2 linked regions of the Bombyx mori genome follow. The protein of the gene in region 2 purifies or fractionates together with the protein of the main gene of each other region. This does not show direct contact. Links are inferred from orthologs where the notes say so. Each region holds a gene or a part of one and is shown on either strand. Other genes may lie near its edges. The genes, in order: ATPase inhibitor-like protein and myotubularin-related protein 9.

Evidence for each region.
Region 1: the proteins of myotubularin-related protein 9 (region 2) and ATPase inhibitor-like protein purify together in Homo sapiens (affinity purification with mass spectrometry; 5 studies listed by BioGRID and IntAct, with this or other methods). This does not show direct contact. The link is inferred for Bombyx mori from reciprocal best matches to the Homo sapiens genes MTMR9 and ATP5IF1.

Annotation. Positions count from the first base shown.
Region 1 is NC_085111.1:3,390,355-3,394,011, forward strand, and holds ATPase inhibitor-like protein, read right to left. Parts: upstream 2,283-3,657; coding exon 2,227-2,282; intron 1,668-2,226; coding exon 1,541-1,667; intron 770-1,540; coding exon 635-769; downstream 1-634.
Region 2 is NC_085121.1:12,311,331-12,315,837, forward strand, and holds the start of myotubularin-related protein 9, read right to left. Parts: upstream 2,959-4,507; 5' UTR 2,762-2,958; intron 2,239-2,761; 5' UTR 2,107-2,238; coding exon 1,960-2,106; intron 1,179-1,959; coding exon 925-1,178; intron 341-924; coding exon 142-340; intron 1-141. UniProt on the Homo sapiens protein: Acts as an adapter for myotubularin-related phosphatases. Increases lipid phosphatase MTMR6 catalytic activity, specifically towards phosphatidylinositol 3,5-bisphosphate and MTMR6 binding affinity for phosphorylated phosphatidylinositols.

The sequences.
Region 1 (3,657 bases), on a different chromosome or scaffold from region 2:
TACCGTAAGTTTCGCGTAGTCGGTGTGGTGGAGCTCGATGGGGTTTAGTCGGTAGTCGTTCTGCGGGGCAAGTGCTTCACGCGCCTTTTTCAAGGCGTAGTCTCCTGTGAGAAATTGGGGGAGGTGAAGGACCTCGGCCCTTCTCTTCTCCCCTTCTTCCTCTCAGGAGGCGCCGGAGTTCGACATAGCCCGGTCCGTTACCCCCCTCGACCGGGTAAATGGAATCCCCAGCGTTAAAAAAAAAAAAAGTATATGAATTAGAAATTATTAGCAGAGTTATTCACGTATGATAGTATATTTGCGCTTCTAAAACGAGTAAATCATTTAAAAGGCAGTGACTATTGTTGTATTGAAACTTCATTTAATAAATCTTTGATAAGTAATACTTAAATCAAATCCAATACCAAAGAGAAAAGCAAGTCACTGTTCATTAATTTAACTTATCAATACCAGCTCTATGTATTGATTTAAGAAAAATACTACACAAAAATTACTTAGTTTTTTATTTTGAAATTTAGTAACTAGAGAAAATAAAAGCCGGAGAGTTTACTTAAAACAATATAAATTTTATATTCTTCTTTGTTTTGTAGGAATATTCTTAGGCCTTCGAAAACTATCACTATCGATGTCCAGTTCATTGGGGCTTTTCAATGTCAGACATTTGTTCTTTGTGACGCCTGATCGCATCCTCATGTCGTTTGATCTGCTCCTGGTGGAAGGCAATCTCCTTGTTCAAGTGCCCCTTCAGGTTTGCTAGTTGTTCCTTTTGCTGTCAATGAAAAAAACCCAGCTCAAATGTTGATTGATGATTAAGAAGGCATCTGTAGCCCATGTATTTCATATTAACTTCAGGAGCGATACTGTCCACGTGGGTAAGTACCACTGACCTGACTAATCATTGATTCATATACAAAGTGTTCCCCCATTTATACAATTTAATTAATTGAAGCTTTAAATTCATGGTTGCCACTATAAAGTTGCTCCCATTACCACAAAACATAATTTAGGGATTAGATCATTTTAATCTATAGAATAAATAAATAACACTGTTCTATTCTACTATTATACTCATAACTAAACCAAAAACAGACAAGCGAAATCTAGTTTTTCAAGTTAACGCAGGATTTTCTGGCAGTAGCTCCACATTCGATTGAAGGTTAACAGAATATCTGTATCTTCTATCTATATATATAAAAATGAATTGCTGTTCGTTAGTCTTGCTAAAATTCGAGAACGGCTGGACCGATTTGGCTAATTTTGGCCTTGAATTATTTGTGGAAGTCCAGAGAAGATTTAAAAGGATTAGATAAATTTGAAAATGCTGGGAATTTAATAAAAATAACAATTTTGTTTTCCTTTGTGGGTCCCCCGTCAGACAATTCCTTTTGTTTGTTTTAAGTTTATTTTATACAAAAGTTAGGTATTTTGTTTATCGATTGAGGCACTAGGAAGTCTGCCGGGTCAGCTAGTTTATAATAAAAGTGGTATAGCCTTTCCAGCTTCCAAAGTTTACATCTTATGAGACTAAAATATTCTATACCTTCTTGTAGAAGTATTCATCTTCTCTAGCAGCTTCCATTTTACCGAAGGTACCACCGGCTTCTCGAATCGAACCACCACCACCACCACCCTTACCGGCTCCAGATCCAGGTTCGCCTGCATACATTCTATAATCAAATTATATTAAATCCTACTATTGAGTTTAATATTTAATAAAAACATATTATTTGCCTTTCTGAGTTTTGCACATATATGGTTTAAGAATTTTAGGGTAAAAAGTTACTAATAAATCATCTCAAATAATTTTTCTGAATCTATGATGTAAATTTTAAAAGATGGTTGTTTTTTTTTTAAATAAGAACTGAAATTACAAATATGGTTTAAATGGGGGATACAAATTGCCACACAATTAAAATATTATGATGATTCAGAGTTATTGTTTATTTTATTGCATCATTGACAATAGATGAGTAAATACCTAAATACCTACCTACCTACCATCTGTCTACTGAATGATTAAAAATGTGACTTTAAACAATGAAACTAAGAAATTGTTTTCATTTATTGCCATGCTCAAGTTTCTAGTCACAATGTATTAAACAGTACTCAAAAACCAAAAATAATATCAATTTACGTTATTGCAAAAGTAAAAAACATTCTCTAAATGCGCTTTTCAAATTTGTTGCGTAACCTGCCGGCCGCTTGTGGCTCTTGCTAAGCCCTTACCTAACATTGACGATAGCACGCACGAATGACGTTCTTGTTTTGGGAAGGAAATTCATGATTTTCGTTAATGTTTAAATTGTATCAAAATTCGCTGTGATTTTTCCAAATTATTCAGGATTTTCTATCAAGAATGAAAAACCAGCACACTTGACGTTTCTCAAAATATCACTATGCTCTTGAAGCGTTCGAAAACATCTACCAAGTACGTTTTGAAAATAATATTTTAAAATTGAATTTAAAAATTTGTTAAAAAAATATTTAAAACATTTTTTATACTTAAGGAAAAATGATTAAACAAGACTTATGTTAGAAATGTTAGAATTAAAGTAAACGAGAAAAAGATTCAAACTAACGCCATCTGTTGTTTATTCACCCATAACACATGTTTTAGTTTTTGTTCAGCTATAATTTTATTTAATTCTGCAGTTTCTCGCATTGCTCTAATAACCTGCCTTTCTTCTTTTAAAGACTCCATCTTTATTTGCCTTTCCGTGCAGGTATATCTAAAAATGTGAGCGTGAAAATAGATAGGTCGAAACAAAATTTAATACATAGTTTAAAAAAAACGCTCTAGATGGCACTAAGCGTTTTGAGATACTAAATTTCAAAAATGTAATGGTACAATATCAGACAACTAACTTTAAGAATTCTTTCGCTTGATTTCTGATCGTGTCATTCGTTTCATCATCAATATCTTCAAAGTCTGTCATTACTGATGCATGCCTTGATTTTTGTATGTTTTCTTCAACATCTCTGTTTTCTTCTAAAGCCATTTCAGTGTCATTGGCAGTCGAATCTTGCTCAGAAGTTGTACAAGAAGCTTCAAATTCTCGAGAATTTCTACTATTTCTATAAATTACTTCAAATGTAGACGAAGACGAACCATTTATATTTGTACCGCTGCAACATGACTGGTCAAGATCTCTAAATTAAGGAAAAAACATGTCAATTATTTTTTTGTTACTTAACAATACTTAGTATACGTACCCGAACGTAGATACCTAACCTTTGGGTACTGTGTATGAACGAAAAATACATCATAACTAGCTGACCCGGCAGATTTCGTAGTGCCTCAATCGATAAATAAAAGACCTAAGCTTTTGTATAAAATAAACTTAAAACATAAAAAAGGAATCCGTCCGACGGGCGACACTTGAAAGGGAAAACAAATTGTTATTTTTATTTAATTCCAAGCATTTTTGTATTTATCTACCTTTTAAACCTTTTCTGGACTTTCACAAATAATTCAAGACCAAAATTAGCCAACTCGGTCCAGCCGTTCTCGAGTTTTAGCGAGACTAACGAACAGCAATTCATTAATAATAATGCATTACAAGAAATTGAAAGATGTAATCAGCGGTATTCACCAGGAATTATTAAGTTGAACATCAGCTCATGCACTGCCATTGTTATGCCGCTTAATGTTTCGGT
Region 2 (4,507 bases):
TAACCCAGTTACTTTACAAAAAAAATTAACATTTATACAGGCCATTAAACTCATATCATTAAAATATTGATTTCATGCTTTATTAAGAATTTTGATCTAAATCAATCAAATCATGATTAAATGGATAGGAAATAAACTTACACCATTAGTGTGCCTATATGACAGGACAGGAATCCTGCCTCCTTGACGGAATGTAGCAGCAGCTACTAGGGTCTCATCATCGATGTTTTTCGGTACAACCACAGCTTTACCGTAGCTTGAACACATTGTGTAATTTTGATTTGCTCTGGATACTCTCCACTCTTCCGTTGCTAGTACTTTAGTGAATTCTTCTTCTATACTGTATTTTTTAGGGTTTGTATTAGCTAAGAAGATGGGAAGGTTAATGCACTAGGTACCTAGGTATGTAAGGTATATACAGTAGGTATAGTACATCTAGTAGTCATCGCAATACACAGTAGTACATCTCTTTGGGGGTATAGCTGCAATTTGTTTTTTATTGTTGTTGTTGTATTGTGGTTTAATGTTATCTAGTAACTGGCGACCATTGAGATTAACAACATAAATACCACTACTCACTTTGAGACATGAGGTCTAGGTCTCAGTTCTATATTACTTACAACACTAATGCTTTGCACCAGAAATAAGCAGAGTGATGGTCCCATATGGGTTCACAAGATGCCCCAATACCATTAAATATATAACTATAGATTTATCTGTAGTAGTGCACTACATACTTCCAATAGATATAGATATTTATTCCATAATATATTTAGATAGATTCCATATATTTACAGTACATACATAACTAGGTGTGCTTGTAAAGTTTGCTTAGTAACATCTAGTTGAATATGAAAATTTGCTTTTGAATATCACTTCAGATCAGTGCTCTCTTAAATGTTTCAGTATATTAAATTAACTTACCTATATAAAGTGTATCCGTTCTCAACTATAGGATTCATATGTCTATAAAAGAATGGGTAAAACAGACTCGGATCTTGCAAACTTGATAAATTCTCTAAGGTCTGTGCCATTAAATTTAATTCAGTACTACTGGCAATATCCAGTTGAAAAATTCTCAAGTCTTTACATTTGAGGAACAGAGAACCACCCTGTGTGATGCCACTGCTTGGTTTGTTTTCTTTTTTCTCTATGCTGTCTATATTCTTGTGCAGTAACTGTAATGCCAAAAGAAATACACTGTACAAACTGTTCCATTAATTAAATATACTGTAGAACTAAAAATAAACACACAAACTTTAAAACTACTTATTAAACTTAAAATGATTCAGGTCATTTATATTTAAATAAAAACTTATTGCGTGTATTTGTATTAATTTATGCAAAGGTTTAATAGTTTGTGCAAAAAAAATATTCTTTTAAGTCATATAAATATATATAACTTATATACTAACATATATAATTTACAGAACACCATAATGATTTTCAGATATAGTTATTTTATTTGTAAGCAGGGCTACCTAAGGGGGAGTCACTGATATTTATTGACTACTGTTAATTCACATTAAATATAGTAGGGAATAAATGTCCCAAGAAACAGAACTTAGACTACATTTTATTTCATTGTGATGAATATAAAAAAATGACCTAATGTTTGATGAGCAAAATATCCATCTCATGGCAAGTGCTTATTACATTTCATAGGTATTGACAATTCCAGGGGCACAACCAAATCGGTGCTTACTGCTTATCTATGATCATCAAGGTTTAAATGAAATCTACCCTGGATGTTTGCAAATTTAATTATAAAATGCAAATCGACAATTTTGAAAATATTTAAAGATTATTAAGTTCTAATTGCAACAAGGCATTAACGACCCTCGAAGACCACGTAATTAACAAATCGCTAATTGTTTGCTCTCTGTTTTTGAGCAGAACTCAAAGTTTTAGTTATCTGGCCCAAGCCAATCCAGAACTGTTTGAAGTGAAATTTTGTACCCATAACTCCTGAACGCCTTCTTTTCTGGAGCTCAATATAAGATGATGTCCGGTGATGCACACCGTACCGTCTATATTATCTTGACGTGGATATTTAAGAATAACTCCATTAAGTTTGTTAATATGAATAAGTTCGATGAATTCCATAACTTCTCGTTTTTAAGATTTAAATAGTGAACACTAGCGCAGCTGTTTTACGTTTTGACAAATTAAGCACAAAGTTGGGCTTGTCAACAATGTCAACAAAACATCGCTAGGTTGATACTTTCGTCCATGGACCTAGAAAAGGAATAAAATCGATTTTAAGAACATTAAATGAAATTCTAAGGTTTTTTATTAATAATAATAATTAACTTTTTTTTTATAATTCTTGATTTCAGACGATTATTCGATTTAATATAGATTTTGTGTTTTAGTCGAGACTTCTTACAAAATTGAACTAGAAAATTCTTAATCTACATGAGATGCAGATCTCTAATCATATCGTTTATGTTGAAAAAAAAATCAATTTAAAGGAATATATTTATTCCGATTTCTATTTTCCGCGGACTCAATCAAATTAATCACTTCAATTTTTATTTTAGTATCAAGATCAAGTCTATGACAATGACACACAAATGAGGAGATATCATTAACCTGGGAGATATTGACAATCAAAAGACTTAGCTTATTAAATGAATAATGATATTAGTAATTAACTTCTACTGACAGTCTTATAAATAATTTTATTTTCTTTAAGTTGATTATAACTACCAAAGATGTAGATATGTAAATGGAATAGACTAAACTCAATTAAACTTACCAACCGTTTACTTCCATTTGACTCCATAGAGAAGAGGGCCGCTCGGATTGTTGATAACCCTATTCTTACGGAGCGTTTGGAGCATTTAGGTCTATGGAGAGACTTCGAAGGGCGAGATCTCCGAGGAATCATGTATTTGGCATGATCCTATCATTTCGTTTTGATCATCATACCACCCGCCACCCCGCACTACTGAAGCAAAGTTTATCCATTAAATCTGGAACCACACTCATTCATTCTCAATGCATTTTCAGATATCATTTCTGCGACGCATTTAAAACGAACTTCCCCCCGGTGTTTCCCGAACGCTGTGACATGTCCTTCTTCAAAAGAGGCTTCCGGAGAGTACTCGACGACAGGCAGCGGCTTGGCTCTGCCCCTGGCATTGCTGAAGTCCATGGGCGACGGTAACCACTCACCATCAGGAGGGCCGTATGCTCGTCAGCCTACAAGGACAACATTTAAATATGTGTAAATATATAAGAATTTCATATTTTTTTAGTCTCTGGTACATACAATACAAGGAATCCTAATTTGGGGTTGGATGACCGTGTGTGATTTGTCCCGTTATTTAATTTAAAAAAGTTATTTAGATTTAAATAACACAATGTTAATTCTTCCTAACAGAAGTCGTTCGTAAATATGGATTAAGAACGTATTTCGTGACAGACCCTGCGAGATTTAAACACGGGCATAGACTTCACTTCGTCGCTACAAGCCAAAATAATAACCATGGAGTTAATAAGATAATAACCAAGACATTTTTTTGTTTTGATAATAAGTATAGTAATCAGTTTATACATTAAAAAAAACATTATAACACTGATTTATTACTTTTGTTATTTATATGTAGAAAATAACACTCAAAAACAATTTAAGATAACAATTGCAATTTAATTTTAAATTTTTTGACGAAGTGTCGACTAATTTTTTTCTTTGTTCCATTTCCTAAAGGAAGACTTTTTTTAAATAGAGTTAAATCTATGCAACAGAGTACAATAGGCACGATTTTATCAGAATGAGTTTGAGATGAATGAAGTTAGCCCCTCAAAAAATTTTTTTTTTCCTATTTTATACTTATTTTCTATTAATTCGTTTGTTCATCATTTGTTCATGATTGTTCACTGTTAATAATTATTTGTTCTGCAGTTATTTATTTAAAAAAAATATTTTAAAATATACCTACAAGTTAGCCCCTCTAATGCAATTTTTAATATTTTTTCATCCTTAATGACTCGTAAATATTCATTTTCGATTGTTCTTATATAAAACACGTTTGTTCTCTTTCGAAATTACTCGTTTTTTGTTTAATTTACTATTTTTATTAGTTGAATAAATGTATGCAAAATATGTGTACTGCGCATGCGTCAACTATAATGCCTAAACTTTCTACGCGGTTTTAATCGTGAAAAAAAAACAAACATAAATCCTGAAGGAGCAATTAATTGGTATACAGTTTAATTAAAAAAATTTAAAAATAAATAAATGAAATAATGTGCATTGGCGTTAAGTTAGACCAAATACATATTTTCCATCCTCTTACCTATCGTATTAAAATGTTATTTTACTAATGTTAGGAATATAATTTCGACTGTGTAAAAAAGTTTTTTGGAGTTTACTCCTTTAGAATCGATTTACATATATAGGCCCGGGGTATGAAAATTATGGGGACCAAAATCGTACTAGCATGTCACACGAAATGCGTTATGCGCCTGCGCCGGCAGTCCGCCACAAAGCCTCGTACTG